2 linked regions of the Caenorhabditis elegans genome follow. The protein of the gene in region 1 binds, or shares a complex with, the protein of each later gene. Each region holds a gene or a part of one and is shown on either strand. Other genes may lie near its edges.

Region 1 (3,927 bases):
TTTGTATTTTTTAATACAAAAAATTCCAAAAAATCCTTCAAAAATCGTAAAGAATTCCGAAAGGTACTTTAAAAAATTTCAAAAAAATATTCCAAAAAATATTCCAAATATCCTTAAAAATTCCGAAAAATCCTTTTAAAAAAATTTCCAAAAATCCTTTAAAAATTCCGTTTTGTCGATTTACGAGATTTCAGGGGATTGTTTTCGAATTTTTTAACATAAATATTCGGAATCAGGCGCAAATTTAGAGTAATTTAAAAGTATTTCCCTGAAAAGTTCAAAAATATTCTTTTTTTTCAGTAACAACTCCTGCTGCTCCGGCTCAAGAATCTACAGAAAGTTCCGCCGCTCAAAAACGTGAATTCCTGCCTGAACACGACGAGGATGAAGCCCAGGATCCGAAAAGACCACGTCTTGAATGATTTTTTTTTCTAAAATTAATATTTGATTTTCTAAAAATGATCTCCCTTTTTTTTTAAACGATTATATATTGTTAACCCGTTCCATTTTATTGAAAAAGTTTGACTTTTTTATTCAATAAATTTTTGTTTTTTTTTTAAAATTAGATCAACCCCTGAAATTTGCAGTTTGCAGGAATTAAAAAAGAGGTGATTTTGCAAGTGTGTGTCGATTTACGACAGAATTTTGTACTACACGTGGACAAGCGCGAAAGATTTTTTCGTCGGCAAATTGCCGATTTGTCGGAAATTTTCGATTCCCGCGAATTGCCGATTTGCCAGAAATTTTCAATTCCGGCAGTTTGCAGATTTGCCGGATCATTACAGTTCCGGCAAATTCCCGTTTTGCCGGAAGTTTTCAATTCCGGCAATTTGCCAATTTGCCAGAAATTTTCAATTCCGGCAAATTGCCGATTTGCCGGAAATTTTCATTATCGGAAAATTGCCGATTTGCCGGAAATTTTTGATTCCAGCGAATTGCCGTTTTGCCGATTTGCCGTAAATGTTCAATTCCGACAATTTGCCGATTTGTCGGAAGTTTTCAATTCCGGCAATTTGCCAATTTGCCGGAAGTTTTCAATTCCGGCAGTTTGCTGATTAGCCAGAAATTTTCAATTCCGGCAACTTGCCAATTTGCTGGAAATTTTCAATTCCGGCAAATTGCGTATTTGCCGGAAATTTTCATTTTCGGCAAATTGCCGATTTGCCGCAAATTTGCTGATTTGCCAGGAATTTTCAATTCCGGCAATTTGCCGATTTGCCGGAAATTTTCATTTTCGGAAAATTGCCGACTTGCCGGAAATTTTTGATTCCAGCGAATTGCCGTTTTGCCGATTTGCCGTAAATGTTCAATTCCGACAATTTGCCGATTTGTCGGAAATTTTCGATTCCCGCGAATTGCCGATTTGCCAGAAATTTTCAATTCTGGCAGTTTGCAGATTTGCCGGATCATTACAGTTCCGGCAAATTCCCGTTTTGCCAGAAATTTTCAATTCCGGCAGTTTGCAGATTTGCCGGAAATTTTCAATTCCTGTTTTTTTAAATTATTTTTTGAATTTTGGTGGTCACCAAGTTTGTAGTATAGCTTTTAGATGACATACGTCTCATGTGAAATTAAAAAAAAAAACGGCAAATTCGGCAAATTTGCCCAGCTTGGTAATTTCGGCAAATTTGCCGCAGTGCACTGTTTTTTAGACTCGGTCATTATGGCCCATTTCCTAAGCAAATACCTACTACAATCTTTTTCAAACACCTCGCTTCTCACCCGTCACCCCAATGAGCCACCTGACCCCTCTCCAGCTCATGTTGCCATAGTAACTCGACAACACCAGCGACTCGGCGGTTCCTAGTTCTCCATTTATTGAAATCTTGGATTTTCTGCTCACATTTCTCTCAGCTTCCACTGTAAAAAATGCAAAATTATTCGAGAACTGATTTCGCTCAAGTCGGCACTACTAATCGGGGTTGCATGCGTGTTATTCCGTCGGATAAGGAGAAAGAACACGATTTGGTAAGGGTTTTTTTAAATACTTTAAGCATGTATCAGATATATACACGGGCTTCTAGCCTTCCTCTTTGAATTTTTCGCGCTCCATTGACAATCACCCCCGCCGCACAACGTGTACTCCACACGGACAAATACATATAGTTTTACAATCGAGCCGCGACGCGACACGCAACGCGCCGTAAATCTACCCCAGATATGGCCTGGCTTAGTTAGGCAAACTCTTCCATTTAAATTTATGAGGGAGGCCAGAGATACGTGAAAGTTAAAAAAAACCAATTTGATGTTTGCAGATAGTAGTCGGTGGACAGAACGGAAGCTTAATCTGTTTATCGAGAAAATCGAATGACACCACGGTGAGTAAATTTTTTATGATTTTTTCCAGACAGTTTCAGATTTTTCTGGTGGAGTACACATGCTATGTAGTTTTCTAAAACAGGCGTGGGAAACAAATGCCGTTCGGCAAATCGGCAAATTGCCGGTTTGCCGATTTGCCGGATATCAATTTCCCGGAAGATTTTAGAGGGATAAGACGGAAACACTTAAAATTGTGCCTTTTTTAAAGTTTTTTCGGTTTTCTTTAGACATTTTCATATGTAGAATTTGCTTATTTTTCAAAATAGATGTAGAAACATTCATAGGATGCGTACAATTTTGCCCTTTACAACTGAAATTCTGAAATTTCCAAAAAAGAAAAAATCGGCAAGTCGGCAAATTGCCGGTATATCGGTTCTACCCAGTTTCTACCCATTGTCGCACATTTTCGTACTTCTAGCAATTTTTGTACTTTTTACGAAAATATTCGGGAAATGCACGAAGCGATTTGCCGAGATATGCCGAACTTGCCGGAAATTTGAAAAATGGCAATTTGCCGACTTTGCTGTTTGCCAAAAAAGCTCAATTTTGGCTACTTGTCGATTTGCCGGAACTTTTAAATTCCGAAACTTTGCCCGTTTGAAGAGATGCTGGGAATTTTCAATTCCGGCAAATTTCCGAATTTCCGATTTTTGCCGGATTTTAATTTAAAAATTTCCAGATAATATTCAAAACTCAACCAGGATACCCTGTTCAATCGTTGGCTCTCGGTGGCCCGGCATCGTCGAAAAAAAAGGATAAAATCTTTGTCGCATCACAAAATACGGTTCGAGGAGTCAATCGAAAAGGAAAAACATTTTTTTCGATGGAAACTAATATGGCTGAAGTTGCGAATCGAATGTTCGTACGTGGATTGGATGTGGTTTTGACTGGACGAAAAAGTTACAGTAGATATCATGACACGGTGGATTCGAATGTAGGTTTTTGCACCACCCGTTGGTCATAACCAGATTTTGTTTCTGTTGATGAAAAATAACATTATTTTTTTTTGAATTTTTTAAAACAATATTTCGGAAATTCGAATAATAGAAAAACGAAAATGTTTCAACATTTTCCAACACCCTTTTTGGTGTGTAGCAAATTTTAACGTTTGCCGTGCTCGCCAAGTTCGGCAAATTTGGCAAATTTGCCGCGCACCTCTGGTGCACATCGCTAAACTAACTGTGGTTAAGCTCTTTACCATTCAAATTTGAGTTTAATATTTAACTTAAAAAAGAAAAATTGATCTCCAAGCATTGAACAACTGCCCTTTTTTTAGAATATAATAGTTTCGAATATTTCCAGAAAAATAATTTTTTTCTGCCCAAATTTTTGCCCAAAAGATGACAGAAAAATGAAAATGGGCAAAAATAAAAAGTTGTCTAAATTTGTTTAAAAAAAGTAATTTATATATGGAGAATTCAGAAAATCTAGGTTTAACCCGTCAAAAATCATTAGAAAGTGGCAAAAATGGACAATTTACGGCAAAAAACGCAATTTTGAAACTAATCTAAAATGGTTAATTTTGTAGTTAGAGGACTCAAAATTGATCTCCGAACGCTAAAAAATTGCCCTTTTTCAGAATATAGTGGTTTTGTACATTTCCAGAAA
Region 2 (3,927 bases), on another chromosome or scaffold:
TCTCGATTTGAACAGCGAAAACCGAGTAATGGACCGAAAAACGGTAAGAAAAGTTTTTTTCAATCTTTCTATGCATGAAATTGTGTTTAGGTTCACTGGAATATGCTTCTCCTCCTCTTCATGTCAGTTTGCTCGGCATTATTCACCGTTGTTGCTCTACAATTCCACTTTTCAAATGCCGAACGATTTCTTCGCACCGCAAAATCACCGGCATCGGCATATCGAGGAGTAATCGATGTCATTCGGGATGTCATCGCCTCATTCGACGTGGCAATCGTGATTCTGTCGATTCTGGCATTCTTTGTGTCTGCTCTTCAATTACTATTCCTGATGAAGATAGTAAAACAGACACAACAACCGGATGATATTGATGTGTTAGTGCTTTTCAAAAGTTTCACATTAAATAGCTTGAACATTTTAACATTACAGGGCACTTCGATACATCAAATCAACCAGCTTTTTAAGAATTGTGGCATTCTCGTTTTGGTTCGCATCAATAATAGTCTTCGTGATCGGTGAGTTTCTTAAATACTATTCATACGCGATTATAAAAATTCAAAAGAATGAATTCGCTAGAATACAAGAAACAACTCTGCAATTCTAATATTTTCAGTGCTAATGCTCACAGTCTCAATTGACCCATCGCGAAGTTTGGCCTCAAAATGTGTATCGATTACTTTAGGATCTTCCGCCGTCTTTCTTGCCACTTGCTTCGCCGTGAAAACCCTCTATTTCTGGGCAAATCATTCTTGTGGGCACGTCTACCGCGAGGATTGTTACAATTACCTAAGCACACTGGTCTGAATGTATTATTTTTATAGCTTGTTATTCTACCCACTTCTATATTGAGCTTTTTCATCACGCAAAGTTTCTCAAAATTGACACCAATGATCTGATTTATTTCATACACATAAGACTAATAATGAATTCTTATTGAAATCCTGATTAATGGATCTTTTTTAGTTCATTACTAATACAAGGCTTATGTTCATGAATTCGAGGGAAAACTAAAAGAAAACAGAACAAAAATGACGGAGCAGACATAAATCAAGATGCGGATAAATAGTAGTAACATACATAAGAGATATCTATTTTGTGTTTTGCAATATTTATAAATATTGTTTTTTTTTAATTTTAGTAAAAAAGTTTGAGAAGCAAGTGAGAAAGTATATTTTCAGAAGAGTAAAAAAAAACAAAGATTTGCAAGAGAAAAAAACGTTTTCAAAATTGTGTTCTGAATGCCTTTGGACGCGTCGCGGTGGCGCTGCGTGTTCTTCCAGCATGGCATTTTTTCCAAAGAAGAAACACGTTTGCATTTGTTCGTCGCCCATTTTTATTCGTACATTCCGTACAAATTTTATCAGTTTCTGATAGATTTAATATTGTACAATGAGAATTTCCTATTTTTATTTGGCATTTCGCAAGTTAAATCATTTAAAAACAGCTTTTTGTAGAGAAAAATACTGAAAACTACAGTATACTCAATTTTTTGTGTTCTTCAAATTAAATTTGTTTCATTTATTTTTATTATTTTCAGGTGTTAGCTAGCAAAAATGGTTGAGCTTGGAGGAAAAGGGCCATACTCGACATCGTTCGATAACTCTGTCTTCATCATCCCCGCAATCGTTATTGTAGCCGTTTTCGGTGAGTATATTAAAACTAAAAATAACAACGAATCTCGCAATAATTTACAATCTTCAATAGTCAAATCTTTTTGGTCGGGCTATTTGTTAAGACCAACATAATTTTTGAGTACTGTAGGTCTAACATGTTTTCCTTTTTTTGAAGATAGGCTAAGTTCCATTAAAAAAACATGCTTCTACCGTATTCAAATTGATAAAAACAATTCACACATCCATCAAGCAGTTGATAGAAACATAATGTTTTCAGCCTACGCCGTTATCAAGCTCCGTGACACCACTTTGGCTAAGGATAACAAAAGCACGGCTCGTCAACGCCGTGAGGAGAAGAAGAAGGCCAAGTAAATGTACAAAAACAGGACTACATCCAAAGTTCACATTCCAAAGACAACTCGACATACAATTTAACAATTTATACTTCGATTTCCATTTGGGTTTTTTTGTATTTATTTAAAAGTTTTATTTGATATTAATAACGTTTTCTAATGTAAAAATAAAATTGATGAACGGATCTTGTTTCTCCATTCTCTACACGCTGCTCCATATGGTTTCCATGACAACACGCGCACAGCAGTGAGCAGGTGAACATCGACTCTATTGCTTACTCTAGGGCACGCTTCAGTCAAAAATGTCGCTTTTTCGGCTCGTCGAATGGGTTTCACAAACAATTCCTAATACGTCAACTATATTGAACGCTTCATTTTTTCAAGATAGAGGTACTTTTTTCAAGATGTCAAGGTCTCCAGTTCGATGTCATGGTTGTGCAATTTTTTTTGTTGAAAAAAAAAACGAATCTCAATTTTGCTCCACTGAGTATATAGTTTTCGACGTTAAAATAGTAACATCAGTAGGATTTTTCCAAAATGCACTCAAAATTAATTTTTGGTCAAAAATTTGGCACATTGCCAAATTATTGAAAAGTTGGTTTTTCTTTAATTTAGAGAATTCTTAAATATTCCAAGCTTGAAAATGTTTGAATATAAATAATTAAAACAAATAGAATGATGAACTTGTGGAACATTTTTAATTTTGGTCGGTTTCCAAAATCATGATAGGTGAAAACTGACCATTCTTTTTTTGACTAAATATAAAATTTTTCAAATATTTGGAAAATTTTCACAATGATATTTGGTCATCTTATTACTATCGAAAGGCTCTAAACGATTCCCCCGTCATTATTCCAGAGCAACTTGTTATTGGAGGAGAAAACGGTCAAATTACGATCTCAGATCCAGGATTCAGGGATACCAATGTGACTTTTAAAAGTCGAAAGATTGCAAAAAATGTGGTAATTTCAGGCGCATGTACTGTGTACAACTGAAACTAAATATGCTATACTCCAAATGGCATCTGATAACTTTCTACCTTCAATGAATAATATTCTTGCCGTCTTATCACCAACAAAGTTAACCTATTACAAAGTTCATTTTGGTAAGTTATGTATCTATTCAGCTGTTATTTATCATACAGAGTGGCTCATAATTATGACAAACAGATGTGGTATCATAAAAACTGTTTTTTTGCAAACTAGGTCAACTCCAAGATATTCCTGATCCAACATTACATTAATAATTGAATACATCTTTCTAATTCGTTAATATAAAACACGTTTTGATAAATCGAACTATGAAATCTATTTTGACAGGCTCCATATTTTTGAGTCTTTTCATTTTGAAACCGATAGTTGTTGATACATGTTTATTTAACTTCAAAGAGAGATAAATACAATATTTGATTCGGATTGTCTTAATAAATACGGGTCATCCTGTAATATACAAAAAATAATAGGCTCAAGTACGAAACAAGGCTGTGCGGCTGGTAAAAAAATTCGGCTGTCGGCTGATGCCGACAGCCGACAGCCGCACAGCCCTGGTACGAAATGGTTAAAATTTCAGCAAGTCCTGATGAAACCCTCGCATCACTTGATGAGATATTCTCTCATTCTTTTTCAACATCTGCATGGAATATGTGTGTAATACCAATTGAAGAATCAACTCCACAGATATTAGTGCAATCAATTGATTGTAAATTATCTTTGTTTCAAGGAGATCAATGTGTTTTTTCAATGGTTCCATTGAGAGCTCTTCAACCAGGACCAATCGGTTACTGTCAGACTACACAAACTCTTTTTGTTGCAAATAATGGATTCTTAGCTGCTATCAAATTCAGTCTTATGTCAAGTGGATCGCAGAAAAAGATTAATGTAAGCTGTGGACTATTGAATATTTTTCGAATGTCCAATATCATCGGGAAACTAAAAAGTATTGAGTTAATTACAAATAATAAA

The links.
Region 2: osm-12 (region 1) and bbs-9 share a complex: the UniProt entries of both Caenorhabditis elegans proteins name them as parts of the BBSome complex.

What each region holds. Positions count from the first base shown.
Region 1 is NC_003281.10:12,200,393-12,204,319, reverse strand, and holds the start of osm-12 (BBSome complex member bbs-7), read left to right. Parts: upstream 1-1,782; 5' UTR 1,783-1,869; coding exon 1,870-1,968; intron 1,969-2,255; coding exon 2,256-2,318; intron 2,319-2,998; coding exon 2,999-3,253; intron 3,254-3,927. Other genes in the region: Y75B8A.13 (titin), read left to right, coding at 301-422. UniProt on the Caenorhabditis elegans protein: Component of the BBSome complex. The BBSome complex is thought to function as a coat complex required for sorting of specific membrane proteins to the primary cilia.
Region 2 is NC_003279.8:6,921,297-6,925,223, reverse strand, and holds the start of bbs-9 (Protein pthb1 homolog), read left to right. Parts: upstream 1-2,250; 5' UTR 2,251-2,268; coding exon 2,269-2,356; intron 2,357-2,824; coding exon 2,825-2,892; intron 2,893-2,938; coding exon 2,939-3,071; intron 3,072-3,535; coding exon 3,536-3,843; intron 3,844-3,927. Other genes in the region: C48B6.9 (uncharacterized protein), read left to right, coding at 1-43, 91-374, 430-515, 614-804; C48B6.10 (Small integral membrane protein 15), read left to right, coding at 1,554-1,644, 1,891-1,985. UniProt on the Caenorhabditis elegans protein: Component of the BBSome complex. The BBSome complex is thought to function as a coat complex required for sorting of specific membrane proteins to the primary cilia.